Linked DNA regions of Mus musculus: regions 1, 2, 3, 5 and 6 are each reported to be linked to region 4. Evidence: microRNA targets listed by miRTarBase, many of them from high-throughput screens and not tested one by one. Region 4 holds a microRNA gene; each other region holds the end of a gene's coding sequence.

What was found. The annotated mature microRNA mmu-miR-339-5p reads UCCCUGUCCUCCAGGAGCUCACG and lies in region 4 at 2,611-2,633, opposite strand. An mRNA with a match to its seed (bases 2 to 7 or 8) in the 3' UTR can be bound and repressed. Matches are read on the target gene's strand: a 7mer-m8 pairs with bases 2 to 8, a 7mer-A1 pairs with bases 2 to 7 and ends in A, and an 8mer does both.
Region 1: the mRNA of Mcm5 is a reported target of mmu-miR-339-5p. Seed matches in the 3' UTR shown: 7mer-m8 at 3,688-3,694.
Region 2: the mRNA of Decr2 is a reported target of mmu-miR-339-5p. Seed matches in the 3' UTR shown: 7mer-m8 at 1,966-1,972.
Region 3: miRTarBase lists Kdm6b as a target of mmu-miR-339-5p. The part of its 3' UTR that is shown has no 7-base or 8-base seed match.
Region 5: miRTarBase lists Dclre1c as a target of mmu-miR-339-5p. The part of its 3' UTR that is shown has no 7-base or 8-base seed match.
Region 6: miRTarBase lists Abt1 as a target of mmu-miR-339-5p. Seed matches in the 3' UTR shown: 8mer at 3,018-3,025.

Annotation. Positions count from the first base shown.
Region 1 is chr8:75,126,926-75,132,011 of GRCm38, reverse strand. It overlaps Mcm5 (minichromosome maintenance complex component 5), which reads right to left. Exons shown (of 17, transcript NM_008566.3): 17 at 3,573-4,789. The coding sequence ends at 4,688. Among named protein-coding and RNA genes, the nearest start is that of Mcm5, 20 kb to the right of the region's middle.
Region 2 is chr17:26,078,644-26,083,729 of GRCm38, reverse strand. Decr2 (2-4-dienoyl-Coenzyme A reductase 2, peroxisomal) reads left to right here. Exons shown (of 9, transcript NM_011933.2): 7 at 50-154; 8 at 637-854; 9 at 1,469-2,519. The coding sequence ends at 854. Among named protein-coding and RNA genes, the nearest start is that of Decr2, 9.0 kb to the left of the region's middle.
Region 3 is chr11:69,395,175-69,400,260 of GRCm38, reverse strand. It overlaps Kdm6b (KDM1 lysine (K)-specific demethylase 6B), which reads left to right. Exons shown (of 24, transcript NM_001017426.2): 22 at 1-65; 23 at 151-321; 24 at 412-1,753. The coding sequence ends at 435. It overlaps Cyb5d1 (cytochrome b5 domain containing 1), which reads left to right and starts at 4,915. Exons shown (of 4, transcript NM_001045525.2): 1 at 4,915-5,086. The coding sequence starts at 4,968. It overlaps Naa38 (N(alpha)-acetyltransferase 38, NatC auxiliary subunit), which reads right to left and starts at 4,470. Exons shown (of 3, transcript NM_030083.2): 1 at 4,289-4,470; 2 at 3,901-4,084; 3 at 3,590-3,741. The coding sequence starts at 4,369. The coding sequence ends at 3,629. Tmem88 (transmembrane protein 88) reads left to right here and starts at 2,027. Exons shown (of 2, transcript NM_025915.4): 1 at 2,027-2,245; 2 at 2,380-3,745. The coding sequence starts at 2,036. The coding sequence ends at 2,649.
Region 4 is chr5:139,367,098-139,372,183 of GRCm38, forward strand. It overlaps Mir339 (microRNA 339), which reads right to left and starts at 2,648; the gene lies at 2,553-2,648. The region is part of intron 2 of 3110082I17Rik (RIKEN cDNA 3110082I17 gene); the gene reads right to left.
Region 5 is chr2:3,453,239-3,458,238 of GRCm38, forward strand. It overlaps Dclre1c (DNA cross-link repair 1C), which reads left to right. Exons shown (of 14, transcript NM_146114.3): 14 at 1-2,116. The coding sequence ends at 571. Suv39h2 (suppressor of variegation 3-9 2) reads right to left here. Exons shown (of 6, transcript NM_022724.4): 6 at 2,577-5,000. Among named protein-coding and RNA genes, the nearest start is that of Suv39h2, 19 kb to the right of the region's middle.
Region 6 is chr13:23,417,847-23,422,932 of GRCm38, forward strand. It overlaps Abt1 (activator of basal transcription 1), which reads right to left. Exons shown (of 3, transcript NM_013924.3): 2 at 4,637-4,836; 3 at 515-4,489. The coding sequence ends at 4,127. Among named protein-coding and RNA genes, the nearest start is that of Abt1, 3.5 kb to the right of the region's middle.

The DNA.
Region 1 (5,086 bases), not on the chromosome of region 4:
CAGCCTGTCACTCAGTTGTATGTTACTCAGAATTGTGGGGTAGGGGGCTGGAGAGATGGCTCAGCGGATAAGTGCACTGACTTCTTCCAGAGGCCGAGTTCAATTCCCAGCAACCACATGGTGCCTCACAACCATCTGTAATGAGATCTGATGCCCTCTTCTGGTGTGTCTGAAGACAGCTACAGCATACTCATATAAATAAAAATAAATTTTTAAAAAAAATTTTGGGGGGTAGTGGGCACTGTAGAATATGTGGGTGTCTAGTGTACTACTTGGCACACAGTGAGTGCAGAATTCACCACTCATTCATAAGGTGCTGAAAACATTTTGGCAGAGGAGGGCATCAGAAAGCAGCCCTGGACCCTCCATGAAATTCTTTCCCAAACCCTTCCCCAAATCCTGTCCCTACACAAGTAGAAACTTGGTTCAAGGTGGCCAGAAGTTCTTGACTCCTGAGCCACTTTGCTCCCCATATAATGCCTTTTTCTCTTCAATGTGTCTGATGAAAGATTAAGGCTAGGAACTTTCCACTCTGTGGGCAACAGGGGCTTACACCCCAGCCCCACCCCACTCCTCCTGTCCTAGAAAGAAGCCTGTTCCCCCACCACCTATCATGTTAAAAAAGCCCTAGACACCAGCGCCTCAGACCTGAGTACAAAGTTGTTAGGTAGTTATGGAACAGGTATGGTAGCACTTGTCTTTAATCCTATTAAACGTAGAGACCTGTGGGTTTGTTAAAGTGGGCCCTAATCTAGCCTGATTGGTATCCTTTCACTTTAACACATACACACACACATACACACACACACACAGAGAGAGAGAGAGAGAGAGAGAGAGAGAGAGAGAGAGAGAGAGAGAGAGAGAGAGAGAGCGAGCGAGCAACTGATCTGGCAAACCATGGATGCAATTGTCTACCTTAATCTATTCCACACCATCCACAGCACCCTTTGCTGGACTGTGGGTAAGGTGCTAGTACCAACCCATCCTCATGGCCATTCTCTTAACCTCAGCCTGAACTTTGAGAAAGGGGAAACAATGGAAAGGACCCTAAACTGCCTATCTATTGCTTGGAACTTAGTTTCCTAATAATTCCAAAATTTGCTGTCAAGGCAGCTCAGTCCCTAGAAGAGCCTGCCTCATCCTTAAATCGGTGCTCACATCTTTTTCTCCCCCCCCCCCCCCGCTTTTCTTTTTATTCAAGACAGGGTTTCTGTGAGCTCTCATCCTGGAACTTGCTCTATAGATCAGGCTAGACTTAAACCTAAGAGATCCACCTGCCTGCCTCCCTAGAGCTGGTGTTTAAGGCGTGCACCACCAAACCCAGCACCCCTATTTCTTAATAGGAAATTAAGGCTGGGATAGGTACAGTAAGTAGCTGAGTTACAATCTGAACCCAGGCCAGTTGGGTTTGGGCCCATGTACTTACACCAGAACTTTACCTTACCGCCTCATCTTTCAAGTAGAAGAAAAAACCCTCACTGATTTAACTGAAAACTACCCTTTGAACCATACCATGTTCCTGTGGTGCCAGGATTGAAAACCTGGCCTCACACATGCCAGGAAAGCAGTCAACCACTGAGCTGCAACCCTTGGCTCATAAATACCAACCTACCAGTGTTCATGTTTAAGCACACGGATCTGTATGCCTCAGCAGGTAAAGGTGCTTGTCACACACATCGGATGACCTGAGTTTTCCCAAGAGCCCATGTAAACATGCAAGGAGAGAACAGACTCTATGCAGTTGCCTCCTAAGCTCCACCCATGTGGCATGCTATTTAAGACCAACACATACACACCCACGCACAATATGAAAGATTTACATCTAAAACCATAACATACTTAATAGAAGTGAAAAACTTACATCTAAAACCACAAAGTTACCCTGTGAAGTGTGCATCTTCTGCCACTTCCACCTCAACAGTCTGAGAAAACTCATCTTTTGCATTTCTGAAATTCCTTGTTTTTGTTGTTTCTTTGGGATGGGGTAGATGGCTCCGCATCTAAAAGCACTGGCTTCTCTTCCTGGGGACCCAGGTTCAATTCTCAGCACCCATAGAGTTCACAAACACCTGCAAATCAAAGATCTAACACCTTCATACAGACATACATGCAGGCAAAACACCAAGATGCATAAGATAAAAATAAAAAATAGTTTAAAAATAAGAGAATTGGGCTGGGCGGTGGTGGCGCATGCCTTTAATCCCAGCACTCGGGAGGCAGAGGCAGGGAGATTTCTGAGTTCGAGGCCAGCCTGGTCTACAGAGTGAGTTCCAGGACAGCCGGGGCTATACGAAAACCCTGTCTCGAAACACACACACACACACACACACACACACACACACACCCGCAAAAAAAGAGAATTGGCCTTATTCTGGTACTTGTAAATGTTCCTCTAAAATAGTATTTTCACTAACACATTTTTATGTAGATTGTTTTTGAAACAGGACCAATCTCTTATAGCCCAGGTTGTAGCCTTGAACACTTTGAAACTGAGGACAACCTTGAACTCCTGATCCTCCTGCTTCCATCTCCTAAATATGGGAGTTACAGGGATGCTAACTTCCATGTCTGGCCTGTAATCTTCACTGTACGTATGACTTCTATGGTGGCTAAGGTGACAGTGTGTATGATTCCCAACAGCTTGTCATTAACAGTTGCTTAGAATTTTGCCAGAAATCCTCCACACCTCATGCATTTCAGTAGAATCCTCTCCCACGTGCAGTCTGGGTCAGACAATATGTGATGGTAGATGCAGCAGAGCTCAGGTGCTAACATAACAGGCCATTGCAGCCCATTTGGGCCCGTACCAATCCTGTCACTGCGTGACACGAATATATGTCTAAGGACAAATAATATTTAAGCTGAAAGACCAACCAGGGGATGTGAAATGTCTATCTATACCTTGGGCAAGGGACCAGACCAGGAATCACCAGGACGCCCAAGCATGCCAAGGCAAAAAAAAAAGTGAAAATCAAGTTGCTGTCTGGGGAAGCAATGAAAGCAGAGCAAGCAGCAGGGCTGAGTCCTCAGAGCACTGCTTCAAATCCTACTTATCTGAGACACTCATGGGAAGGTGAGGAAAAGAGGGGAAAGTGTGTCCTAAGACCATCTTGGCCATACTTGCAGGGCTACAGTAACTTAGCCCCAGCAGCTCAGGCCAGTGTCTCGTAGAATTAAAGGTTAGGATCCAGTTCAGATTCAGAAACCAACCAATCCTTAATTCCTGGATATTTTCCTGGGCATTTTTCCTCGTGCTGTGGCACACCGAGCACTGCCCACTTCCCTGCAAGCCAAGCTTGTCTCCCTTAACACTGTGCCTGCCAGCCAGGGCCTACCAAGAAAGAGGTATCATATCGGCATCTTCCACTCAACTAAGCACTCCTGCAGGCCCGCATGTCCATGCATCCTCAAGGCCTCAAGTAGGATGAAATGTTCTTACCAAGCCTGCCCTTCCAGACAAGCACACTCTGTTCCAAGTTTGCAGACCAATCAAAAAGAAATGGCTATGGCCATTCGTCAGGAGCAAGCACATTTCCAGGAGGGAGTAAGAAGCAAACACTTCAGCCAGGCGTGGTGGCCCACACTTTTAATCCCAGTACTCAGAAGGCAGAGGCAGGCGGATTTCTGAGTTCGAGGCCAGCCTGGTCTACAAAGTGAGTTCCAGGCAGCCAGGGCTACACAGAGAAACCCTGTCTCAAAAAACTAAAAAAAAAAAAAAAAAAAAGCAAACACCTCAAGCAACAGCCATTTCAGCACAGGACGCCATCTACGAGAAAGGCCTGTGTATGTACTTCCTGTTCTCTCAAGCCTTCCTCCTACAGTAACTTTACTGTTGGTGACTGCAGTGTTTTCAGCACTAGCTTCCCATTTATAAATGTACTTTACATAACAAATACTTAAATATTTCACTGACTTTTCCTTAATTTTATAAATTATAGATTTCTAAAATCATAATTTTCGGCATTTTGGTAATACGAGGTGTTGGGTGTCTTCTTTTAACAATGTTGTCACTAATACCTCCTACTGTGCTGAAGCTTGCTCAGGTACTCATAGCTCCTTAACTGATAAACCCTGACGTCTGGTTCCTTCCCCAGACACCACTGAGGCCCACTTGCTATAAATAAAGCCCTGGAGACATTCTACATTGGAGTCTACTTGGGTTTTCACTGACAGCCACTCACTCACTGAGCTCAGCTTCATCAAATTTGTTTGCAGATTAGGAAACTGAGGCAGACAACTCAATGAATGATCCAGTTCTCACATTAGGTGCTGCTGAAGAAAGCTGAAAGAGTCAACCTTGTATTCACACAGCACTACTATCATACTGGGTCCACTGACCTTAGCAGCCAGGGACTCAATTGCTTTATTACCTCTGTACATACAAAGAAGCTTGGCAGTGAGTGGCCCGGGAGCCAATATACAGACCCATCTACATTCCAGGGCCTGTTCCTGCTCCAGACTCATCTTGTTGAGAAGGCATGACAGGGGATAGACACCCAGAGCAGAGAGTCCTCAGACACTCAAACACAGTATGAGGCCAACAGACCAAAGTACATTTCCAGGGGCTGCAGATGTGCTGCAGACTGCAGTCTGAGGTGGAGAGGCAGGGCAAAAGGAGGTTTGGAGCACTGACTGGGAGATAGGGTGGTGGCAGCATTTCAGGCTTGAGGGTTGATGGGCAATGGGCTCACTTGAGGCGATAGAGCACCTTGCGCTGCATACGGTGTTGGATCTCACCCCTGCGTAGCATGAGCTGCAGCACCTTTCGGATAGCGTGCTCTGGATATTTCTGTAGGAGGGAGCACAAGACAGATGCACAGGTATATCATTATGACCCAAGGGACCTGATGCATCACCGGATCATAGACAATTTTAAACAGACAAAAAATATCCACCTCCATTCTCCCTTGACTTCAGAAAAGTGTGTATGTGATGATGCCTCTTGTGTACTAGGTAAGTACATATATCGACTTTATGCACCTAGTATTAGGAATAATCTCATTTTACAGAGGAAGAAATAGGCACAGGCTGTCACTTGTTTGGGTCATATAGCAATTAAGTGAGCTAGGACTTAAGTCCCTGTGAC
Region 2 (5,086 bases), not on the chromosome of region 4:
GAGCGGAACAGCCTCACAGTTTCCCCTCCCATATGCATTTCTCATGCAGATGCTATGACGCGACACTTGGCTGTGGAATGGGGTCCCCAGAATATCCGTGTCAACAGCCTGGCTCCTGGTGCCATCAGTGGCACTGAGGGTTTAAGGCGATTAAGTAAGTCTCCCTGGGAGTTTGAGACACCCATCAAAGCTTCAAGAATTGTTGCAGTACTTAACAATTCTGTCTTACTGGGTGGTGGTGGCACACACCTTTAATCCCAGCACTTGGGAGGCAGAGGCAGGTGGATCTCTGAGTTCGAGGCCAGCCTGGTCTACAGAGTGAGTTCCAGGACAGCCAGGGCTACACAGAGAAACCCTGTCTCAAAAACAAAAACAATAAGGACAACACAACCATCAACAAAAGTCTTCTTATTCAAGTCAAGAAGTTATCTAAATGTTTAACCTTCTACCCTGTTGAACTTGGCCTACTGTGAGGGTCTCCAATGTCCATCATGTGGGTTCAGTGTCAGTCTGCTGTTGGCCTTGATAGAGCAACCACTGTTTCCAGATCTGGGTCAGGGAGAGAGCTAGCTGGAGAGAGCAGCAGACACTGTGGCATAGAGGCTTACTGGGATCTGACTTCCTATTGCTTTCCAGGAGGCTCCAATGCCAGTTCGAAATTAAAGCATTTTTCAAATCCTATTCCAAGACTTGGGACCAAGACAGAGATCGCTCACAGCGTGCTGTACCTGGCCAGCCCTCTGGCTTCCTATGTCTCAGGTATCGTGCTGGTGGTTGATGGTGGAAGCTGGATGACATTCCCCAATGGCATCAAGCAACTGCTAGAGTTTGAATCCTTCTCTGCTAAGCTGTAGGTAAGGTGTTGTTCCCACTTCTCGGGATCCCCATGTCCTTGGATGCCTCATCTTTTATTCTACTAAGTGCAGCTATAAACTACTAGTCATGTTTTCATAGGAGCATCCCTGCCCCTGTCCTGGCACAGAGGGGCCCTGGGCCAGGTGGGCAAGACATGGTCTCCAAGAATGTGAAGGAAGTGGGCTCTATGACACTGGGTTTTCCCAGACCTTATCCTCGTCTCTATTGGAGAAATACAGCCTTAAATTTGCAATTTTCCTATCTTAGCCTCTGGAGTGTGAGAGTACAGGAGTACATGCTAGGATATAACTTTTTCTTTTCTTTTCTTTTCTTTTCTTTTCTTTTCTTTTCTTTTCTTTTCTTTTCTTTCCTTTCCTTTCCTTTCCTTTCCTTTCCTTTCCTTTCCTTTCCTTTCCTTTCCTTTCCTTTCCTTTCCTTTTCTCTCTTTCTTCCTCCTCCTCCACGTTCTTCTTCTTTCTCCTTATAACTTCATCTCAGGTCAACGTTTATTCAGTGATGATTAATGATTACTTTTCTATTAATTAATGAATTAATCAATTTTCTTTACATCATGACTGAAGCTTCCTCTCCCTCCCGTCCTCCCGTCCCCCAGGGGAGTCCTCCCGTGGATATCCACCTTCTTCTTCTTTGAAGATAGGATCTCATGTACACTATGTAGCTGAAGATGATTTTACAAAAGAGCCACCCTGCCAATTTTTGCAGTGTTTGAAGATCACACCCAAGGCTTCCAGCAGGTTCAACCAGCAGAATCAACTGATCTGTACGTCCTCCCCCGGGGATCTTCTGACACATAAACTTCGTACTCAAGATAGTTGTTTTGAGGAGGCAGTGTTCTTCATGGGGAATGCCTCCTGCCTTGCATAGGTCTATAGTCACACAGGAAGTGTTGAGTCTGACTTGGAAATCCGAGCCCACTCCCCTGCCTCTGGGATCAAGCTCTTTGCAAGCTCTGCCTCTCCTCCGCCCACATCTTGAGTAGGAATAACCCGATCATGCATAGCTGAAACTTGCTTACAGTATCTGAGGAATTCCTATGGTTTTACCAGAAAAAAAATGCATTTTCTTGTAAAAAAAAATTTTTTTTTTTGAGACAGGGTTTCTCTGCATAGCCCTGGCTGTCCTGGAACTCTGTAGACCAGGCTGGCCTCGAAATCTGCCTGCCTCTGCCTCCCAAGTGCTGGGATTAAAGGCATTCGCCACCACTGCCCGGGTTTTTTTTTTTTTGTTTTTTGTTTTTTCTACTATAAAAATAGCTATGAGTTGGAATTTGTAAAAGTTTCTAGAGGGCTGGCAAAATGGTTCAGCAGGTAAGAGCACTGACTGCTCTTCTGAAAGTCCTGAGTTCAAATCCCAGCAACCACATGGTGGCTCACAACCATCTGTGATAAGATCTGGTGCATCTGAAGTCAGCTACAGTGAACTCATGTATAATAATAAATAAATCTTTGGGCCAGAGCTAGCAGGATTGAGCGAGCAGAGCAGACCAGAGCGAGCAGAGGTCCTAAAAATTCAATTCCCAACAACCACATGAAGGCTCACAACCATCTGTACAGCTACAGTGTACTCATATACATAAAATAAATAAAGAAATCTTTAATAAAAACGTTTCTAGACAGAAAAAAAATTGACTGATTCTACCATGGAAATAGTGCTTGTGTTTCCTGTCTTTTTTCCATATCTCTTTAGCTTGGTTGCTTCTCATGCCTTCCTCCCACCTACCGAGCCCAGTCCTTCCCCCCTCATGCACTCCTCCCACCAACTGATCAAAGTCCTTCTCCCTCATGCCCTCCTCCCACCAACTGAGTGAAGTCCTCCCCCCTCATGCCCTCCTTCCACCAACAGAGCCCAGTGCCCTCCTCCCCATTATCCTGCCCCCCAACCCTAGCAGCACAGCTTCCTGACTTCTTACCAATGGTCTCCAGATCAGAGGGAGGTGTGGCACTGTGGCCACCCTGGTGGGAGGGAGCATCTCCCCCTCCCTGAAACCTTTCAGCCCTATAGTCACCTGTCTTTGAACTCCCCGCTCTACTACAAATCCTGAGCATGTTCTGCTGTTCCGGGCCCCTTTGGCAGACACAGTATCAAGCTCTTAGCTGTTGAGCCAGCTCAAGAAGGACACAATTTCAGCACTCACTCAATGTGTAAGGTACAAGCAGCCCCACTGCCCCATCCGTGGGGGTTGCCTGCCGGCTCCAGCATGTGGCCACCATGCTGGTGTGTCAGAGCATTTGGTGGCCAGCCTTGTCTAGCAAGTGCTGGGATTAAAGGCATGCGCCACCACCGCCTGGCTAACCTTAATGTGTTAGTGTAGATACCCCCAGAGTCCAGAAGAAGGCATCTTTGAGATCCCCCTGCAGCTGGAGTTATAATCTGATTTGAGTCTCATGAAAATTGAAATCCATTCCTCTTCAAAAGGAGTATATAGCTCTAATCACTAAGCCATTTCTCCAGCCCCGCCCCCCCCCCCCAAGATGCAGATTTTAAAAGGCATTAGTTCATTATGATGGCACAGGCTTGTAATCCCAGCACTTGGGAGACTAAAATAGGAAGATTAAGATTAAGGGTGGTTTAGACTGCACGGTGAGACCCAGCCTTAGAAACCAAGCAAGCAACCAAACAACAAATAACACACCCCTCAAACCCAACCCAAACCAAACCCCCTCAGCAACAGCAAAACCCAGGCTTAGTGGTATACACTTGTAATCCTAGCATAACTGCCACAAATTCAAGGCTAGCTTGGCTACAGAGTGACTATCAGCCATGCCAAAAACCTGTCTTAAAATAACAAAGTGGGGCTGTAGAAATGGCTCAGTGGTTAAGAGCACTGACTACTCTTCCAGAAGTCCGGAGTTCAATTCCCGGCAACCACATGTGTCACTGTGAGGGTGGGCTTTGAGACCCTCCTCCTAGCTGCCTGGAAGTCAGTCTTCTCCTGACTGCCTTTGGATCAAGATGTACAACTCTTTTTGTTTGTTTGTTTGTTTGTTTTTGTTTTTGGAGACAGGGTTTCTCTGTATAGCCCTGGCTGTCCTGGAACTCACTTTGTAGACCAGGATGGCCTCAAACTCAGAAATCAGCCTGCCTCTGCCTCCTGAGTGCTGGGAGTAAAGGCGTGCGCCACCTTGCCCAGCTAAGATGTACAACCCTTGACTCTTTCTCTAGCACCATGTTTGCCTGCACACTGCCATGCATCCTGCCAATATAGTGCACTAAACCTCTGAACCTGTAAGCCAGCCCCAATTAAATGCTGTCCCTTATAAGAATTGCCTTGGTCCAGCCGGGCGTGGTGGCGCTCCTTTATTCCCAGCACTCGGGAGGCAGAGGCAGGCGGATTTCTGAGTTTGAGGCCAACCTGGTCTACAAAGTGAGTTCCGGGTCAGCCAGGGCTGCACAGAGAAACCCTGTCTTGAAAAACCAAAAAAGAAAAAAAAAAAGAATTGCCTTGGTCATGGTGTCTCTTGTTAGCAATGGAAATCTTAAGTCATACAGCCAGTACTGTTACACAGAGAAACTCTGTCTCAAAAAACCCACACATCCTCCCCTACCACAAAAAGAACAAAGTGTCTTGGGTTGTATGTGTTTAATGAACGAACAAACAAAACTGCATGTACTCACCCGTGCCTTGGTTTGAGCCATACAGGTGATTTCTAGCATGTCAGTGTTTTCCATAGGTTACAAATGAAGGTCTGGGTATGTTTATCTTTGTCTATCCAGAACACAAAAACCTTAAAATTGCCCAAAATAAACACTGCTCATTTGGAGGGGGTTCCTTTCCACTGATTTCTGTTGCCTTGGTAACTTGGAGCAGCCCAGCTGTGGCTTGCATGTACTACAAGATCTGGCACCAAAATCCACTTGTCTCCCTGGAGGATTTTCCCAAGCACTGGGTCTTCCTCTCTGTTTGCCAGGGCGGGGCCACCTCATGGAGACATAGGAAACAGGTTGAAGGTACCTGTCTGTTGTATTTGTTTGTTTGTTTTTGCTTTTAAACATTTGTTATTTATTTGCATGCATATGTGTGGGCAGGATGTGTTACGATGCTCATGTGGAGATCCGAGGATAACATTAGAGACTTGGTTTTCTCCTTCTACCAAGTAGATGCTGGGGGTTGAATTCCGGTGACAGGTTTGGTGGTCTTTACCTGCTGAGCCATCTTGCTGGCCCATATTACTGTGTGTGTACAGAACATGGGAAGGGGAGCACATGTATG
Region 3 (5,086 bases), not on the chromosome of region 4:
GGAAGAAGATCGCTTACCAAGGCCGTGTCAAAGACGAGCCTGCCTACTACTGCAACGAATGCGACGTAAGTGTGCAAGCTCTTCCCCCTGCCTGGAAGAGACCTAACAGTAGTAGTGACTTCTTAGTGACAGCCGCTTTCTCCTGGCCAGGTGGAGGTGTTCAACATCCTGTTCGTTACAAGTGAGAATGGCAGCCGAAACACGTACCTGGTGCACTGCGAGGGCTGTGCGCGCCGTCGCAGCGCGGGCCTACAGGGCGTGGTGGTGCTAGAGCAGTACCGCACGGAGGAGCTGGCGCAGGCCTACGATGCCTTCACACTGGTGAGAGCGAGCGCCTGGGCTCCAGAGGGGGCGCGGGAGCGGCCGGTCCCCATCCGCCCACCACTGAAGCTGCCCACTTTCTCCCCGCAGGCTCCCGCCAGCACGTCTCGATGAGGCCGGACGCCCCGCTCGCCCGCCCACGCTGGGCGCGGCGGGGCCACCAGCACACGCCTGGGCTGGACCTAGGTCCCGCCTCTGGCCGGGAAGGGGGTCGGGCCCAGCCCTTCCACCCTATTGGCAGCTCCCCTCACTTAATTTATTAAGAAAAAAAAAATGTTTTTTTTTTAACAAATACGAGGAAAAAAAAAGGAAAAAAAATGGGAGACGGGGAGGGGGCTGGCAGCCTCTCGCCCACCAGCGCCTCCCCTCACCGACTTTGGCCTTTCTAGCAACAGACACAAGGACCAGGCTCCGGCGGCGGCGGGGGTCACATACGGGTTCCCTCAAGCCTGCCCGCCGCGCGCCCGCCCGCCGCCCGCCGGCGCAGACGTTCGCGGCTCGTTGTGTACATAGACGTTCGGCAGCCGAGGTTTTTAATGAGATTCTCTCTATGGGCTTTACCCCTACCCCTGGACCTCCTTTTTTTTTTTTTTTTTTTTTTTTTTTTTACTTCCAATGCTAGCTGTGATCCCTGTATATGTCTCTTGTTTATTCACTTGGTTATGATTCGTATTTTTGTTCTTTTTGTTTTTTGGTTTTTAATTTATAACAGTCCCACTCACCTCTATTTATTCATTTTTTTTTTCTCTTTTTTTGGGAAAACCCGACCTCTTACATCCCCAAGCCATCCCTCCTGCCTCTTTGGGAGGCCCACTCCTGGGCCTTCCCTGCGCCCCAGTATGTCCGGGCTTGGCCCGTCTGTCTCCGCCCGCCCGCGGCTCCAGCCGGGCTCTCATGGTGCTCAAACCTGCTCCCCTCCCCTACGTCCTGCACTTTCTTGGACCAGTACCCCCACTCCCGACCCAACCCCGACCCCACCTGAGGGTGAGCGACTCCTGTACTGTAGGGGAAGAAGTGGGAACTGAAATGGTATTTTGTAAAAAAAATAAATAAATAAAATAAAAAGTTTTAAAGAACTATGAGGAAAAGAAACCCTGTCCTCCCCAGCCTCGGCCATTTTAAAAACATTGGACACACACACACACACACACACACACACCTTTTTTAAGGCGTGAAACATCCCAGGGCAGGGCCTCTCTGGGGCAGGGACACCCTGGGGTGATTTTCTCTGGGGCTTTATTTTCATTTTCTTAGTTCGGTTTTTTTCCCCCCCGCTGGGGCTGCGGAGGGGTGGGGGGGTTTACAGTCCCGCCCCCTCGCACTGCACTGTCTCTCTGCCCCAGGGGCAGAGGGGGGCTTCCCATTCCTACCCTATTTTCGGTGATTTTTGTGTGAGAATATTATTAAAAATAAAAGCAGGAAAAAAAAAAAAGAGACCCTTGTGTTTTGATGATGGCTGTGAAGCATATCAGTTGAAGGGTCGAGGAGCTAAGGGGAGGGCGATGCAGCCTCCGGAGGTGGGGAGCCCCTCCTCAGAGGAGCCTGTGGAATGTCCAGACCCACAGTCTGCCCCTTAGGATGGGGATGCCTAATCCCAGAGCCGCATTCCAGGATAAGGTAGTGGGGGGCGGGGTGCAGAGAGACTGCCCCGGGGGAGGGGCAGGAAAGAGGGCTATAAGGACTGCAGTCGTGTGGGGCGGGAACCAACCAGGCCATGGCGGAGGTCCCCGGAGCCCAGCGCCCCGTTCTCGCTGGCGGCCCAGAGCCTCGGGATCCCCTAGATTGCTGGGCCTGTGCAGTGCTAGTAACGGCTCAGAATCTGCTGGTGGCTGTTTTCAATCTCCTCTTGCTGGCACTGGTGCTGGGGACCATCTTGCTACCTGCTGTCATCATGTTAGGCTTCGGCTTTCTCTGCCACTCCCAGGTAAGCATACCAAGGGGTATGCGTGAGTGGTGTGTGGGCGGCGGGGGTGGGGGGGTGTCTGAGCCACTGCATCCCCACTTGGGCTGTTTCCTCCTGGGCAGAGTGGCCCATTCTGATGTCTCTTATCCGCACAGTTTCTGCGCTCTCAGGCACCCCTTTGCACCTCGCATCTGCGGGACCCAGGCTTCACAGCCCTGTTGGTCACTGGATTCCTACTGCTCGTGCCGTTGCTTGTCCTTGCCCTGGCTACCTACCGCCGCCTCTGCCTGCGCCTCCGCCTGGCCGACTGCCTCGTGCCCTACAGCCGAGCCCTCTACAGGCGCCGGCGCATCCCACAGCCGAAGCAAATCCCAGTCTCACCAGGTTCTCGGTCTGTTCCCACACCGGGAAAGGTCTGGGTCTGAGGTGCTTAGAGTCAAGAATCCTGTCGATTGCCCTCCTGGTCTCTCAAGGACTTGAAACAAGCCCAGGGGTGTACTGCCCAAGCCGGTTCCTTACCGCGGCCTGAGCCGGATCCTACCATCCCTTTGATGGAACAGCTGAATGTGGACGTAGAGCTGGCGAAAATTCCCATGTCCCAGAAACGTCATTCACATTTGATTCCTGAACGTTTGGGCTGGACCCTGCACATCTTCTTTCCCTTCCCTATTGTAAATAAGAGAGCTGGACCTTGTGCCTTCCTTTGCTGGTGCAGCTCCTCCAAAATTTACAGGACTGAGGGACAGGGCTCACACAAATAAGAGAGAAGCCATCACAAATAATAAAAAAAAATTATAAAATGAATGCACTCTGTGAATACAGGGGTGGCACATATCCAATCGCTCCTGCACTGGGCTCAGGAGTAGGAAACGAATCCTCAAGACTACAAATGGGCAAATCAGAGAGCATCTCTCAGCATCCTGCCTTTTCCTTATCGCATTAGTCCATTCTTCCTGATCAGACCCCAGAGTTGTCTGGCCCTGACCCCAAAGTCACTTCCCCATTAATAGCGCAGAGAGGGCCTTGTTTCGGCTGCCTACCCAGCTCCCCTTGGGGACCCGAGCCCGTTCTCTGACCCCAGCTTAAAGGAACTGAGTGTTGCCAGGCCGGGGTGGGAAACAATGGATCTTCCGGGGCAGGATGACACCGCTTCCCGCTAGAAACTGAAGCAGGAGCGTGGGAGGGAAGATGGAGGGGCCCACCCTAGGGCCTGCTGCCTTAAGCTCCTAACTTGAGGGAGGGTTTGGTTCTTCTAGGCATTGGGGCAGGTTGAGGAAGCTCCTGAACTCTGATGAACCTCTAAGGGTGGGGTGTGCTAGCCCTCCCCTGACATTGGACCTACACACAGACACAGGCCACTTTGGTCATAGGGTTTAATGGTCTCAAAGAGAAGTGCAATTGTGGTCAGAGATACGGGCCCCCCGACAGACTCTCCCTTTGGACTTCAATAGAAACGATGTGGTGTCCTGGTACCATGGCCAGACCCAGCACACGGGGTTCGCCCGCAGAAAATGAATCTGGAAAAAAAAAAAAAAGTCAGTATCAGAACAGCAGGCAAACATCCGTCTCGCCCCCAGAAAATAAGGGGGTGCAGTAAGGCCTGCAAGAGGAAATGCCTTGCAGTGAATTTCCGCCGCATTCCCGAGGAGGTAGGTGTGTATTCCCTGGACACTGACCAGAAGGCTTGAGGAACTCTTGCGCAGAGCCCAGGATGACATTACAGTCGCGATCAGTGCACAGGAAGCAGCCGACTAGTGTCCTTCCATCTGTCATACGGATACGCATGGTCTTGTTGAGCAATGCCTCTAGTTGCTGCCGTGCACGCGTGGCCGGCGAGTCCTCCTGTTCCCCATCAGAGTCCTGCTAGGGCAGGACAAGCACTCAGACACCTAGGATCGGCAGCACGCCCAAGGAACCACAGTTCCCAGCTGCCCTCGCGGCGCTGCCAGAAGCCCGTGGGCTGCTGGGAATTGTAGTTCTCCTTTCCAACCTCGCCACCCCCTTTCCCCTCCCCGCCCGGTGTCGCTCCCCGACTGCTCGTCCAGAAACCAAGCCCACGCTAACCCCGGCGCTGGAGCTGCTCTGACGCCGACTGCAACAGCCATTCTCCTCTCGTAGTAGCATGGTCGGCCCAGCTCCGGCCATTGGCCCTGGGACCTCTTTTGGGCCTTAAACTTCCTAAGAGCGTTTTGGGGGATCGGCGCGTCAGATCTCGCGAGTGCTCCCAAGCGCTTTCGTGAGATCACAATTCCTCCTCGCCTCCGGTTCCGCCACTGCAGATCTCGCGAGATTTTATTTCATGCCAGGTCCCTACATGCCTACTGGGCTACGAGAAGAATATCGCGAGAACTTTACCTGCAATTGCTTAAACAGCTTTTAAACGCCTGAAATCTGGTGATTAAAAAACCCTCTATTCTAGTCTCCTCGTCGATACTTTCTGTTACCCCTAACTCATCTAGCCTACACTCCGTTATGAAACGGACTGTCTTCATTTCCTCTAAGAATGAATTCAACCACAGTAGGCTCGAAGCCGGAATCCGGAATGCTTCCGGTGGACACGCGCAGCCCAAACCCCGCCCTACTTACGTATAACTAACTACTGTGGCCGGTGGCCGGAAAGGGACAATGGTTTCCATGTCAGCGACAAACGCACTTCAGGTAGTTCTTGGACCTGATAGTTTTAAGATTGCGGAGGAGCGAGAAGGTAGCTGAGGGAGCCTGTGCCTCTTGTAGACCAGGAGCCATGCCGCGCCGGGGCCTAGTAGCCGGGCCAGACTTGGATAATTTTCAACGTCGGTATTTCACGCCGTCAGAAGTAGCGGAACACAACCAGCTCGAGGACCTATGGGTGTCTTACCTGGG
Region 4 (5,086 bases):
GCCCCCTGGTTTTCAAAGAGGAACTTGGTACGTGGCCCAGGCTGGCACTTCTCCTGTCTCTGTAGCCTCTGGAGTCCCGGGATTAGAGCTGCCCTCTTTTCCAGCTCTTTTTTAAAAGAGAGGTAGGGTGTGGCACACACATGCTGGGTGGAGATGGCTCGGTGGGTTAGAGCACTTGTTGCTCTTACAGAGGACCTGGGTTTGGTTCTCAGCACCCACATGGTAGCTCTCAATCATTTGTAATTGTAGCTCCAGAGGGCCCAAAGTCCTCTTCTGAACTCTGGGTACATATGTAATGCTCATTCAGGCATGCATATAAAACATGCACACTGGCCTGAGCGAATGCTGCACCCACGGAGGGTCCTTGTATGGATGGTGGGCTCAGCTCTTTGCTGTCCCTACCAAAGCCAAGGAAGGCTGACACTTTGGGGCCAGTGCAGCATCAGCAGTCTCCCAAATGGCACACCCTGAGGGTTCCTCCACCCACATCTCCATCACCACTCATGGTTTGCACTGATCCAGGGCTGGCGGAGCAGGCAGCCTCTGTCCCATGCTAACAGGCAAGGCTTGCTGGGTGACTCTGGAGATTGAGAAGAAAACTGGACCATCTCCCAACAGCCTTGGTAGCTAAATTCAAGACTGCCTGGTGTCCATGACAGGGCACAGCCTGTGTGTGTGTGTGTGTGTGTAGGTTAGCTGGTAAGCTGACCTGGAATTATAAAGCCCAGGCTAGCTAGCGTCCCCTTAGGGGCAATCTTGCCTCAGGCTCCCTGAGTTCTGGATGTTGAGAAGAGTCCTGGCCAGGCATTCTGAGCCACACTGGTAAGGGGAGTCTGGCCTGCTTGTGCCTGTTGCTGGTGAGGAGGCTTAACTCTACCATCTGTAAGCAGGGGCATCCTGGTGAGTGGGTGTTTTCTGCCAGCTCAAAGACTCCAGGCGGCACTTTCTCCCTTGCCCTCACCAGGCTGTGTGTAAACCCAGGACCAACCTTGAACCAGGGCAACTGCGTGGGCCTGCTTCTCTTGTTTGTTCCCCAGGTTTAATCAGGAAGCCCTGGTTGAACCTTACTGTTTTTGAAGCCTCAGGCGCTGAGGAGGCACACAAAGGTGGGTGCTGCAGCAAACCGCAGCTTCAAGCACCCCACCACTGCCCCTCCCTTGGGTCCCATGGGGGTAAAAGAGGCCTTCTGTGTAGGAGGAAGGGCAAGGGCCCACTGTCCTTCCCCAATGAAGTTCACAGGGCAGAGAGATGTTCTCCTTCTCCACACAGCTAGAAGGAGCTGCTGGCCCTGGCCAGGGCATCACCTGTGCTGGGGCAGTATGACTGGGGATATTCTCTTAATAGGGATTTGTGCTGTCCTGGGGAGGCAGTCAATGCCCAGCGTTTTTGAGCATCCACTGGGCTCAAAAACATCTTGTTCAAACGTTCTTGGAATTGTGGAGGAGGTTGGTGAATATGTCCTGAGGATTGAAAGTCCAAGGCTAGCTTGAGCTTAGCAAGTCTGTCTCAAACATAAACAAAAACCCCTCAAAGGTTAGTTGTAGACCTTGGCAGTAGAGGCCCTGGTAGCCAGTGCCAGACACACAGCTCTGTAGGACCTTCTTTCTTGGAATGACTGAGTCAGGTGTAAGGATGAACACAGGTGAGGGTAGAAGGACCCTCTGTTGTCCCCACCCCATCATGTGACCAGAGCAGCTGTACTGGGGGCGCAGCTGAGTGGCAGGGAATCCAGTCATTTGACCCGCTTCACACAGGACAGAGTCCCAAGGGCACAGCAGATGGTCGATGGAGCCCAGCACCTGGCCTGTCTATCACATACCCAGGTGGTGCCTCCAAGGCTGGGGCATGGTCTCTGGTCCCTACCACCCCTATACCTGTTCCCCAGACATTGGGAATGGCCTACAAGTGACAGCGATGTTTGTGGGGGGAGACCACGAAGCCTGCTGAGGCTGACGAGCTGGGTGCCAAGGCCAGTGGACTCTGTTCTCATTCCCCAGCCCAGAATCAGCCCTCCTCCATTCAGTTGGAGCCAGCCCGAGTCCAGGGTCCCACAGAGGTGTTCGACCTTGAGAGCCCATTCCGGTTCACAGACCTCAGCAGACTGCTGCCCGGCTATGCACTCACTCGGTAGCAAGATTTCCAGAAGACAAAGCAAAAGCACAACAACATAATGAAGAGAGGGGAGAGAGTTTGTTTTAAAGGAAGCTTTTTATTTGGAGGTAATTACTGAAACACAGTGGATGTAGAAGTGACCCAGGGACACCAACTGCCAGGACATAGGTCACACGCAGTAGAATCAACTGGTGCTACAGAGGACACACACAGAGGGAGAGACCTGGAAGGCTCCCTCCTGGCTCCTCTCCCCTCCCCCTCAGTGTCTGCGTAGGTTAAGATGATTAGGACCCCAGAGGGGTCAGTGCCTTGCGTCACCGCACAGAGAAACCAGAGTCCCCTCCATCCACGGAACAACCTGCAGATCTGCACAATCGAGTTCAAGAAGGTACAGCATGAACAGCCAGCGACTGAGCACCCTGGTCTGCAGGCAAGGGTCTGTGGACAGTGCAGGGGTGGACACCGGCTCTGTCGCCGAGGCGCTCACAGGCAGGCATACGTGAGCTCCTGGAGGACAGGGATAGTGGCCACCCCGTCCAGCTCTGCACAGCTGTGCTCTCACCACCTTGGTGCCAAGGCAAGGGTCACACCCACCTAGGGATCCCCTTCTAGATATGACTTTTCAAATGCACAAAATGTCACTTAAGCCCCATGCTTGAAAAAGACAAAGATGACAGATGCGGCACCCTGCCTCCTCAGTGACCTGAATGGCGGAAGTGAGCAGCAGATCTGATGTATCCCTGAGAAACAGGAGACTGGGCCATCACCAGCTGCCACAGGACACACGAATCCCCAGAGGTGATGTTGTCACCGCCACCAAGCCCAGGCTCTGTCCAGGCCACAGGTCCTTCTGCAGTCACGGCAGAAACACCCTGTGTCACTTACTTGGGGGTTAAACACAGGCTAAAGCCTAAGTCTTGACCTCAGGCTGCCCAGAGAATTAACTTTCTCACAGACTCCAGCACAGACCACAAGGCCTCTAGGCTGTGAGTCCCCGACTATACATCGGTTTTCTTGGCTCTCTGGCCTCAGCTCACCTGACTCAGGCTGACTGGCCCCACCAACAAGGTTATGAAGGTCCCATGGGTTTTCTAGGTCTAACCTCTCCCACTGCTATCTCACATGTCCCCAGTTCCAACACAGGAGCAGACAGACCCCAGGAGCTTGAACAGGGTGCAGATTTCCTTGACTAGGCTGAGGGGCTGGCTCCAGAAGATAAAACTTCCGTCCCTTTGCCTGCAGATCACAGGAACTGGTCCCAGCAGCTCTGGCACAAGTTTAAGTGGGAAGCCCAACTCGGCCATCAGTGAAGCTCCTGGTCCAAGAGCAAGGACAGAGTCAGCCCCTGCCACCTGAATCACGGGCGTGAGGGCGACACACACAACAAGCTCCCACCTAGGTCTACTCAGAAATGGCAGAAAGCAGCCAACAGGCAGGGAAGAGGGCCCTGCAGCGGGGGAGATGGGGAGGTCTCTAATCAGACCCCTGCAGTAGGAGACCCTGAAGTGAAGGAGAGGGAGGGGCTTGCATCTATAACTGAGCATTCCCAGGCCAGGAAAAGCCTGCTGACACAAGAACCTGTGTACTGTGCAGAGCCTGCGCTGCGTCCCTGAGCCGAGCGAGACTCAGTCTCATTTCAGCTGCAGTCTGCCTCCTTCGCCCTAGCTGGAGGCCTTCTTTCTAGCCAGGGCCAGGTACCCACATCCCCTTCTCTAGAGCTTCCCGGCATGCCCACCACCCAGGGATGCTTGTTCTAGCCTGGTTTCCACGTGCCCCACTCCCAATTCTATTTGAGTGTGCCGGTAATCAAAATGCTTTTGATTTTGGCTTCCTCTGGTAGAGCAGCTGTGTTCACACATCCCAAACTGCCTAGTGGACCCCCAAGTGACATTAAGGTCATGGAAGCTTTCTTGCTGTGGCCAAGGAAAGGCCATTTCTCCTGCTACAACGGGCCCAGCAACCACCCTGCAAGCAAGGTCAGATGTCTCTGCTCACCTGGGTAAGTGACTCCCTAGCAATCCAAAACTCCCCACCCCCCTTTTTTTAAAACAGCAGAAATGTGAAGACAGCTCTGAGCCAACGAGGGCAGAGATGACCAGAACAAACACTGGGGCACAAACAACACTCGCAGGATCCTCTATAGTTCCTACTTTTTGTGCTGATCTTGCTATTATAATGCAGAGCGGATTTCTAAAGCTTGAAAAGCCCACTAAGCAAAGTGTGGGAGTCATCCAAGGTGCGGGTGCAAGCAGCTACAACTGGGCAGAAAATGGGGTCTCCCAGGGAAAAAAAAAAAACCAAACAAACAATTATGTACTGTCAAAGACTATCAGCCACCAGGCTTCCACATTAGCTGAGCAGCCTGCGATCCTATTTCTCCTGCGAGTGTCAGCCTGTGAGCACAGCCTGCCAAGTTCTCACCTCCAGACCCTAACTATACCACCTTCCCCACAGACTTTAAGGAGTTCCTGCAGGAAGGCTGACCTGGGAGCAATTGAGAAGGCCTGCAACAAAGTCTGCCTCTTGGGAGGTGGAAAAAAACAAAACAAAACACAAAAACCCAGGCTAGTGGAGCAGGCAAGAATGAAATCAACATTACACAGGGACTTCATTAAGTGCCATAAAGTTTGTTGTTATGCCCCTCCCACTGTTCACAAGCAGTTTTTTGGGTCAGGGCTCTGCACACACCGCGGACACCCAGGAGGGTCCTCCTGGGTGTCCATGTTAACCTGGCAAGTTAACCTGGCATGTTAACCTGGCAAGCGGTCTCAAAGCCTAAGACTCAAAGTCTAATAAGACTATGAGCGGGGCCCAGGCTATGGGCTCAGGGGTGGGAAGGCAGGCAGCGGTGCGAAGGGACACCTGGACGACCTCGCGTGGCTACAGAGCGAGGCCACCACCGATGCCTCGGGGTCACCTGGCGCCGCCCGCGCCTGGCCACGCACTGACCTCGCTCGTAGGCAGCGGGGAGTTG
Region 5 (5,000 bases), not on the chromosome of region 4:
GGGATCTCAGTCACCAAAGCTCTGCAGTGACTCACCAAAGCTCTGCAGTGACTCACCAAAGCTCTGCAGTGACTCTGATGGAGACTCCACCCATATCTCTTCCCAGAATTCATCTCAGTCAACCCATATAACAGATCAAGGAAGTCAAGGCTGGGACAGCCAGTGTGATACTGTTTTGTTATCTTCCCAAGAGAAAAGTGGTGGGGATAGTACCTCTTTAAACAAGGGTGCCTACAAACCAAAACTCAAAGAGAGTATTTCTGCCTCTCAAATAGAACAGGATGCACTGTGTCCACAAGATACTCACTGTGATTTGAAAAGCAGAGCTGAAGTAAATGGAGCCCCTTGTCTTGTAGAACTAGACACCCTGAGTGGCAGGAAGTCTCCACCTGAGAAGACATTGCTAAGCAGCACACGTGCAGACTCACAGAGCTCCTCTGACTTTGAAATCCCCTCAACTCCCGAAGCGGAGCTTCCTACGCCAGAGCATTTGCAGTGCTTATACAGGAAACTGGCAACAGGTCAAAGTATAGTTGTCGAAAAAAGAAAATGTTCACTTTTAGATAGTTAACAAATAAAACTCTACACAGAGAAACCCTGTCTCGAAAAACCAAAACAACAACAACAACAACAGAAAAAAAAACCCTCTCATTCTAGCAAAGATGTCCAGCCTTTCGATGTTGCAATACAATGCTATACATAAAAGTCCTGGGCAATATCCATAGCTGTGGATGTATGTGGCCTGGAGGGTAGACACACTTGTTAGATCAACCACAAGAAATCTGCAGAGTGACACATCTATATAATAAGATCAACATGAAATATTAAAGGATGCTCAAGTGACCTAAAAGAAAGAGAAACAGGCTCAAAACCAGCATTGCATGAGATGGTAGAACTAAATCTAAACATATAATCACATTAAATGCAAATGATATAAAAAGATTTATGGTGAGATGGCTCAGTGGGTAAGAGCACCCGACTGCTCTTCCGAAGGTCCGGAGTTCAAATCCCAGCAACCACATGGTGGCTCACAACCATCCATAACGAGATCTGACTCCCTCTTCTGGAGTGTCTGAAGACAGCTACAGTGTACTTACATATAAATAAACAAATCTTAAAAGAAAAAAAAAAAGATTTACAAAAAGACAGAGTACAGGAAAAACACTGCCCAACTATGTGCTGTTTTTAGAAAACACAACTCAAGTGATGTAAAAGTTGAAGGTAAAGGGCAGACCACATAAATAATGTTAAAGCCAGAATGATACAGTAGGAGCAGGCACCTTCCCCAACATAATGTCTACCTCACCAAGAAGATGTAATGGTAAGGTTCTTGCCTAGATTGTATGAAGGCCTAGCTGCAGTTTCCAGTACAGTACAGTGCCATGCCCTCCACAAAAGAGCAAATAATACAGATACAAGCCATGGAACACGCTTTCCTAGAGAACCAGTGCACACAGGAAAGCAGTAAGACGAGAACTGACCACCAGTAACTGGATCTGATAGACAAGAGTATTTTACTTCATAGCAGAATACATCTCTTCAAATGTACAAGGACCATTCCTCCACCAAGATACACTGTATCTTGAATCACTACAAGCAGTCTAGAAAAATAAAGGTGGGCTCTATTTTAGTAAACTGGTAGCAGGGGGTAAACCAGGACCTTATTAACCTCTATCACATAAAGACCTGGGTGGGGGGGCAGGGCTGGAGCAGTTTAGAGCACTTGTCGGTTTTGTGGGTTACCCAGATTTGGTTCCCTACACCCATATGGTGGCTCTTAACTGTCTGTAACCCCATTCCAGGGGATCCATGCACACATACATACATACAGGCAAAAGACTCATATATAAAAATAAACCTTAAAAGCTACCAGCAGGCTAGGCAAGGCTGTGTTCTACAAGCTGAGACTAGAGGGACTTGAGTTGGAGGTCAGGCCTGGGCAATGTATGTAGCAAGAGCTTGTTTCAGTACATGAAACTGTTCCCAATGCAATGATGTAAAGGAAAATACTTAAATATTTAACATACATGCTCTGTGAATTATTAAAGTGCCTTAAGGTACAATGCTTTTGTATTGATGTGTATGGATTAATAAAGCTTTATAAGCATTTTCATAAGTACTTGAGTATGATGACATTTTACAAATCAAGGGAAAAGATGTAGGCACACCACATAAGTTTAAAAGGCGTCTAACAATTTGACAGTTAAACTGCATGTCACAGATCATAACTGCTACACAATTAGATCCAGAATTACTGGACCCAACCTGCTGGGTGATTGGACTTAGAATATCTGTACATATAACTCTCCATTTGTGTAGTCACTAATACTCAAAACTTAATTTTAATTTTGTTTCCTTTGACCTGAGCCACACTCAACCCAACTTGGTTTTAATAGAATATTTCATGATCCAAGGTAACATGCCTGTAAACATTGTTCTCAATGTATTTCTAACATTTTATCATTGTAATGTTCATGTTTTAGATCTTAAGTCTGGCATGAACACTGGCTGGCAAAGGTCAAGAGCTAAGAATACATGCTTATCAGCTTAGGTTTCAAATACAGAACAACAGGAAATCTTTACATATGGTGTTTATTCTGTTATTAAAAAAAAAGCCCACTTTATAAAGCTTTAATCTATGAAACCATACTTTGAGGTAGGCATGAAACTAAGGCACAAAGGTTAGTTCACATAGCTAGTAAGCAACACACACACACAGACACACACACCCCGAAGCTTTTAGAGTCCATGCTCGAGCACTCTGCTGTATGAGGAAAGCTCTTTACATAAAGCATTAAAACGGGCAGCATTGATTGTAGTGGCTACATCATTCTTCAAGAGTTCTAAATTAGCAAAGTTAAAAACATTTCAAAATGCCAAGATACATCACAAAATCCTAAAGGCTAGCCACTTTTACTTCAGAGAAGAATCAAATGCAAACTGATTGTATATACCTTCTCATACAACTTGACAAGCCTAGGGTCACCTGGGAAAAAGTAACCTCATTTGAGAAACTGGCTCCATCAAAATTGGCCTGTGGCATGTCTGTGGGGATTTCCTTAATTGTAATTGATGTAGCGGGGTCTAGCTCACTGTGGGCAGTACCATTCCTAGGCAGAGGGGCCTGGGCTATCTAAGAAACCTAGCTGAGCATGAGTCTGGCTGAGAGTAAGCCAAGAAGCAGCGTTAGCTTTCCTACATGGTTCCAGCCTCTGCTCAAGTTCCTGTCATGATTATTTCCAAGGACATGTTGCTGAAGACACTACATACTTGGGACGTGTGACGTGAGGAATCAGGCTCCAGCTGAATTGATCACTTTTATCACAACAATGTGCACACACATACACATACCCTGTATAAATAGCTAACATGAGGTGACAGTCTGAGAGGGATGTAATGGGGGAATGTTGAGAGGCAGGAAAGAGTAATGGAATAGTGAAGGGAAGCAATGACCATTACATGTGTGGCACTCAGAGTGAAGTCTGTTTGTGTTTAAAGGTAAAAATCTCCAGGCTGGCATGGTGGCACGTGTCTGCAATCCCAGCGCTGGGCCGTAGGGGGGCAGAGCTGAGGAGTTCACGATAATACTCAGCTACACAGTAAATTCAAGGCTAACCTGGCTACAGATACTCTGTCCAAAGGCCTACCCACTCCCCACAAAATCTTAAGGGCACATTAAATTTCTATTAGTAAGGACAAAACAAAGCCACATATTTATTAAACAGTATTTTCCTTCTTGCCCTCCTAAGTTTCCTTTTAACCTTAACAGTAAATAAGACCAAATATCTAGACAGTCAAACACTGGGTTTTGGTTTTGTCTGTCTTTTTTTAATCTTTAAACCTGAGAATAATTCAAGGTGAGCTTGGCCAAGGGGTTGTTAGGGGGTGGGACGGGGGGATGGGACGGGATACCCGTGTTGCTTTTAAGATTCTCAAAACAAAAGAAATGCCATTTAAAATTATACTTTTTTCTTGACAAATTCGGAAATCTTTGGGTAGCAGACATACTACAAGGCCTCAAATATGCACACTGAATACTATGTACTGTGAACAGCAGCCCCATGAAGGCGATATTCTGCATGTACTGTTGTGAACAGCAGCCCCATGAAGGTGATTTTGAGTAATACTGTAGCTTCTCTCAAACCAGGCCAAGAGTTAGGAAGATAAAGGAAATGCTGAGCTCCTGAATTCAGTTCATTTTACTGACGCTTATCATAGTCTATTAAAGCCTGGAGCAGTGAGCCGGGGGAACTCTTAGGAAACCAAAAGCTTGCTTTATTTGCTGCATTTGTTTTGTCTTCACAGTGGACACCATGATTAGAACTCCCAGACCCAGAAAGATGAAAGTAAGTTTTTTCTTTATTGGGTTTTACTACACAGGGAAAAACCGCATCTAATCCCCAGAAGTTAATAAAAATTCAATCAGACATAACTCTGGCCAAGCTAAGTTTTATCTTATAAAAAAATTCTTGTATAAAACAAGTATCTGTTCAAAAGGGCATGCACAAAATACAAAATTATTTAAATGTAGTGGATAGTAATTAAAAGTGCCTGCAAGTGACCTGAATTACACTGTCATCGGGGCTTGTGTCCCTCACGGATCTCACTCCTGCTCAGATGAGATACTCAGTGCGGACCTCCCACTCGCTGAGTGGCTCACTCTGCCTGGCACTCCAATGGGCCCTCCTAGTCACTGTTCTGTGTGTTCAAAGAAGCACAATGGCCAGCCACTATAGACTTCTAGAGAAGGTGATTAGGGGCTTTTCTTCTGTGCAACTAAAAAAAATCTTTTAAGAATTTCAGGTTCAGATATACAACCTTTGTAATGGTATCTATTGCTTCAAAATAAGATCAAGCTAGAAGTAAGTCTTTCACATTTTTACACCTGAAATATATCATTAAGATGCCAATGTTTTTATGTAAAAGTAGAAAATATAGTAAAAAATTCAGCACTTATTTGTCTCTGATCAGTGAGTATTAAACAGAAATAATATAGTAAA
Region 6 (5,086 bases), not on the chromosome of region 4:
TAATCCATAGCCCATGTTGCCAACTGAGATTCAGCAAGTATGGGCACAATGATCTTAACTGCGTATGACTCCACACTGCATTACAAGTAGGAGTCAGCTAGCTTTGGCTGTAACTGCACACCACAGCTCCTACAGCTAGTAATGAAGTCACAATGCACTTTCTGAGCCTGAAAAACACTTTGTCGAGTCTTCTTCTCTTCTTCCTCCTCCTCCTCCTCTTTTTCCTCCTCCTACCCTCTTCCTCCTCACTATGTAGCCCTGTCTGTCCTGGAACTAACTATATAGACAAGGCTGGCCTTGAACTCACAGAGATCTGCCTACCTCTTGCTTCTCAAGTACTGAGATTAGAGGTTTGTACAAAGTCCAGTCAACACTTGTTTTTATCAATGTTTCATTATTGGGCTCTAGTCACACAGAACAACCACCACAGATTAGCTGGCTTTCACTCTGTTCTTACCATTGTTCCTGTAGAAGAGGCTTGATGTGGACAGAGTAGGCTTACAGAGTCCCAGATGAAGATGTAAATCTGACTTTTATTACCTTTGTGACTGTTTGGATCAAGACCTTCCTGACGCTCCTTATCACTGTCACAAGTAGATGACACTTTCCAAACTGGTTGTCAAACCAAACATCACAGGTAGTGGAGTGCAGAAAGTGTATTATTTAGGATTTTTATAAAACCTCTCCTCACAGCAACTCAAAGAGTTAGTGAACATTTATTTACCAGACTGAAGCCCTAAAGAGTCAAAGATAATGTTGAATCTTCATACTGATAACACCAGGGTAAAAACATCAACAATTACTGTAAAACAGGAGGAGCTACCCCAGAGAGAAAACAGTGCTCCAGCCCCACAGAAGCAGGATGCTCACCTTAGGAGGGGAAGTCGGGGGAAGCCAGCCTGACATTCTAAGTGACTGAATCTTGAAGGGGAAATGCACTTGAGCTTGTGAGGAAGGGAACAAGGGGCCAGGGGTTCAGGCTGTTGGAAGCGAAGTTTCAGAAGGTGCTGAGGAAGGCAGTCCATGTGATAGACCCACGACATGGGCTGGACTGAGGGAGGAGAATGGAGACAGGAAAAGTGGCTGGAATGGTAGGATCTTTGAGAGGCTCAGTCTCTGTCTTAGAGTTTAACTGCTGTGAACAGACACCATGACCAAGGCAAGTCTTATAAAGGACAACTTCTAATTGGGACTGGCTTACAGGTTCAGAGGTTCAGTCCATTATCATCAAGGTGGGAGCCTGGCAGCATCCAGGCATGATACAGGCAGAGCTGAGGGTTCTACATCTGAAGGCTGCTAGTGGAAGACTGACTTCTAGGCAGCTAGAGTGAGGCTCTTAAACCCCATGACCACAGTAGCACACCTACTCCAACAAGGCCACTCCTCCAAATAGTGCCACTCTCTGGGCCAAGCATATTCAAACCATGACAGTATTTTTAACCCCTAGATCTATTAGTAAACATCTTTTTGCAGTTTTTATACAGAAGACATGTACCAAAATGAATACTGAAACATTTTAAAAGATAAGGCATGTGATAGCTTGTGGATGCCTTTTCCAGGTAAGGATTTACCCTATAAAGAAAAGGAAGGTAAATTATTATTCTATTTATTTATTTAAGAATATTGAAACTAGGCCTCTTGATACAGGCCTCTCCTCACAGCAAGTTTTTGGGAGGCTGAGACAGGATTTCATGTTCAGAGCCTACCTGACCAAAGTTAGCTCAAAGCTAATTTGAGCAACTTACAGAATGAGTTCAAGGCTAAGTCTCACTTGAGTGAGGCCCTATCACAAAATAAGAAAGTTATAAAGAGCAGTCCCTAGGTCCAGTAATGTGGGACATGCAGAGATATTCCTTCTAAGGTGAAAGATAAGTTATTGCACCTGGCCCCTCCCACTACCAAGAAAAAAGCACATTTAGTGGGTCTATTTGGATTCTGGAGACAGTATATTACTCACTTGGGTGTGTTACTCAGGCCCATATACCAAGTGACGTGTGTGGGGCCTGAAACAGAAGGCCCTTCAACAGGTCCAGGCTACTGTGCAGGCTGCTCTACTCCTGAACCATATGATCAAGCAGACCCGATGGCACTTGAGGTGCTGGTAGCAGATAGAGATGCTGTTTGGAGCCTCTGGCAGGCCCCTGTAGGGAAATCACAGAAAAGACCTTTGGGATATTAAAGCAAAGCTCTACCATCATCTGCAGACAACTATTCTCCCTTTGAAAAACAGCTCTTGGCCTGCTATTGGGCCTTAGTGGAAACTGAACATTTGATAATAGGACACCAGAATCAGGTTGCAAGTTACCAAGCAACCTGAACTTGAACTATCCATCATGAGCTGGGTGCCATCAGACCCTCCAGTCGTAAAGTAGGACATACAAAGCAGCAGTCTATTATCAAATGGAAGTGGTATATATGTGATTGGGCCAGAGCAGGTCTTGAAGGCACAAGCAAGTTACTTGAAGAAGTTGCTCAAATGCCTATGGTTTCTACTCCTATTACAATGCCATCTGCTGCCAAGCATGTGCCTATAGCCTCATGGGGTGTTCCTATGATTGGCTGACTGAAGACTAGGACCTGGATTTCTGATAGCTCTATACGTTATGCAGGCACCACCCAGAAGTGGACAGCTGCAGTATAATCCCTTTCCAGGGCAACCCTGAAAGATACAGGTGAAGGAAAATCTTCACAATGGGCAAAACTTCGGGCAGTACACGTGGTATTAGTTTGTTTGGCAAAAGAAATGGCCAGATGTACAACTGTTTACTGACTCATGGTTTGTAGCCAATGGATTGGCTGGATGGTCAGGGATTTGGAAAGATAACAATTGAAAATTGGTGAGAAAGACATCTGGGGAAGAAGTATGTGGATAGATATTTCCAAGTGGGCAAAGGATGTGAAGATATTTGTGTCCCATTTAAACACTCACCAAAAGGTGACTTCAGCCAAGGAGGAGTTCAATAATCAAGTGGATTAGATGACCCGTTCTGTGGACAGTCAGCCTCTTTCCCCAGCCATCCCTGTCATTGCTCAATGGGCACATGAACAAAGTGGCTATGGTGACGGAGATGGAGGTTATGCTCGGGCTCAACAACAGGGACTTCCACTCACCAAGGCTGACCTGGCTACGGCTGCCGCTGAATGCCAGATCTGCCAATAGCAGAAACTAACACTGAGCCCCAGATTCTTTGAGGTGATCAGCCAGAAACCTGGTGTCAGGTTTACTACATTGGACTACTTCCTCCGTAGAAAGGAGATCTCTGAGTTCAAGGTCATGTGGGACAAAGCAAGTCCCAGATCCAGGAATGGCGGCACACACCTTTAACCTGGGCCACATCTTCTAAGGAGACCTACATAATGACATTGGAAGAAGGAAGACCCTCCTTCACCTGCTTGTCTTGTGGGACTGAGCAACTGCTAGACCCTTGCACTTCCATTCACAGGTGCTCCTGACCACTGTTGGGAGTTAAGACTACAGTCGGTAAACCATCAACAAATTCCATTACTATACAGAGACTACCCATAAGTTCTGTGACTCTACAGAACCCTGACTAACACAGGAGCATTGGGATCATATCTGATAGAGTAACTGAGATTCATGGGTGGAGGAGAATCATGCCTGTGCTAAAGTAACTGAGCGGCATGTATGGCTTCAAAAGAAGTTGAAACTTACTTAATGAAAAACTAAAAAGCATATAAAAATAAATTATTTTTTATTTTCAAATATAAGCCTCAAATTGGACCTCTAATCCAATTCCTGCTAATTCAGCCTTCCACCACAGTGAACAAACACCACAGACCACTACCCTAGTGGAGGGCAAGTCCACTCTTTCAGTCAGAAACTGTTAGCTGTCCACTGAGAAAGAGGCAGGCAATCAGAAATCAAACAAAACACAACAGGCACCTCCAGTGGTCTTCACCCTGGATAGGACGAGTAAGGTTCTCAGGCTGGCACTTACAGGATTTGTTCAAAGTAGGTAAAAGACACCAACAAAAGGCCTTTACCAGACTCTTGGTGTGTGGAATAGAGAAAACATCTGCCTAGATGGTCACACTCTTCAGGAAGCAGATCAGAATGGCGCAGGGCTGGTAGGTATTTCTTCCATCACCAGGAGTCCCTTATTGACTACGGTTTTTCCTTGCTCTCTGCAGGTAGAGGGGCTCCAAAGATCTTGGCAAGGAGCCCTCTGTTGGATCGGGCCTGGTCCTCGACATTAGCCAGCCGTGCTCTTTCCCGCCCTCCTGGCCGTGCAGCTTTCCGGGCCCTAAACTCCTGCTCAGTGGGACGCTGGGTGAATGTCCAGGAGCTATTTGGCCGAGTAGCATCCCCATCAGCTGCAAGGAAGTGTTGTCCCTGTTCTACGTTTCGAAGATAGAAGTCAGTCTCTCTCTTTGCTTGGGCGACCTCTGCTCTCAGGCGTTGCCTTCGTACTTGGCGCTCAAAGGCAAGGTGTTCACTGAGGTGGGACCAAGTAAAACGATGCAAATACTGTGAGAAGGAAAAGAAGAAAAGGTCACGGTAGGGAAGGTCGGGAGAAGAAACTGGGAGCTGCTCAGAGCTAGCAGGAAGGATGGGGTGCCTGGACTAGAGCTGGAGGGGGGAATGAAGATGTGGCAGACAAACTGAGAACCTCACCTTGAGGTTCCACAGGTCATAACGGAAGGGGCTGCGCTTGCGGGCGCCCATGGGCGTGTTATGTAGACTGGCTGCCACTCGCTTGGCTACACGCTTGTCTCGGAACTCCACCCAGCCTTCGGTATAGTCCTTGCTGTACTTAGCTCCCTTCTTTCCTCCTGCGGCCGCGGCTGCCTTCTTCTTGCGTTTCACAAAGTGGTCTGTAGGCCAAACACAATGAACATCCCATCAAGCACCCACTGAGACACACCTCAGTTTAGCCGTAAGCCACACCTGCTGGTTTAGGCGCTACTTTACAGGGATTGATGAAACACGGCTGTCTGTAAGGGGCAGCTCCTCCTTTCCTTAATTCATGCCTCCCTTCAAATGACAACTTCTTGAACATTAGAACAGCACCAAGAACAACACCAGTCCCCACCTCCATTTCCAAGTTGTGCATGTCAAGAGGTG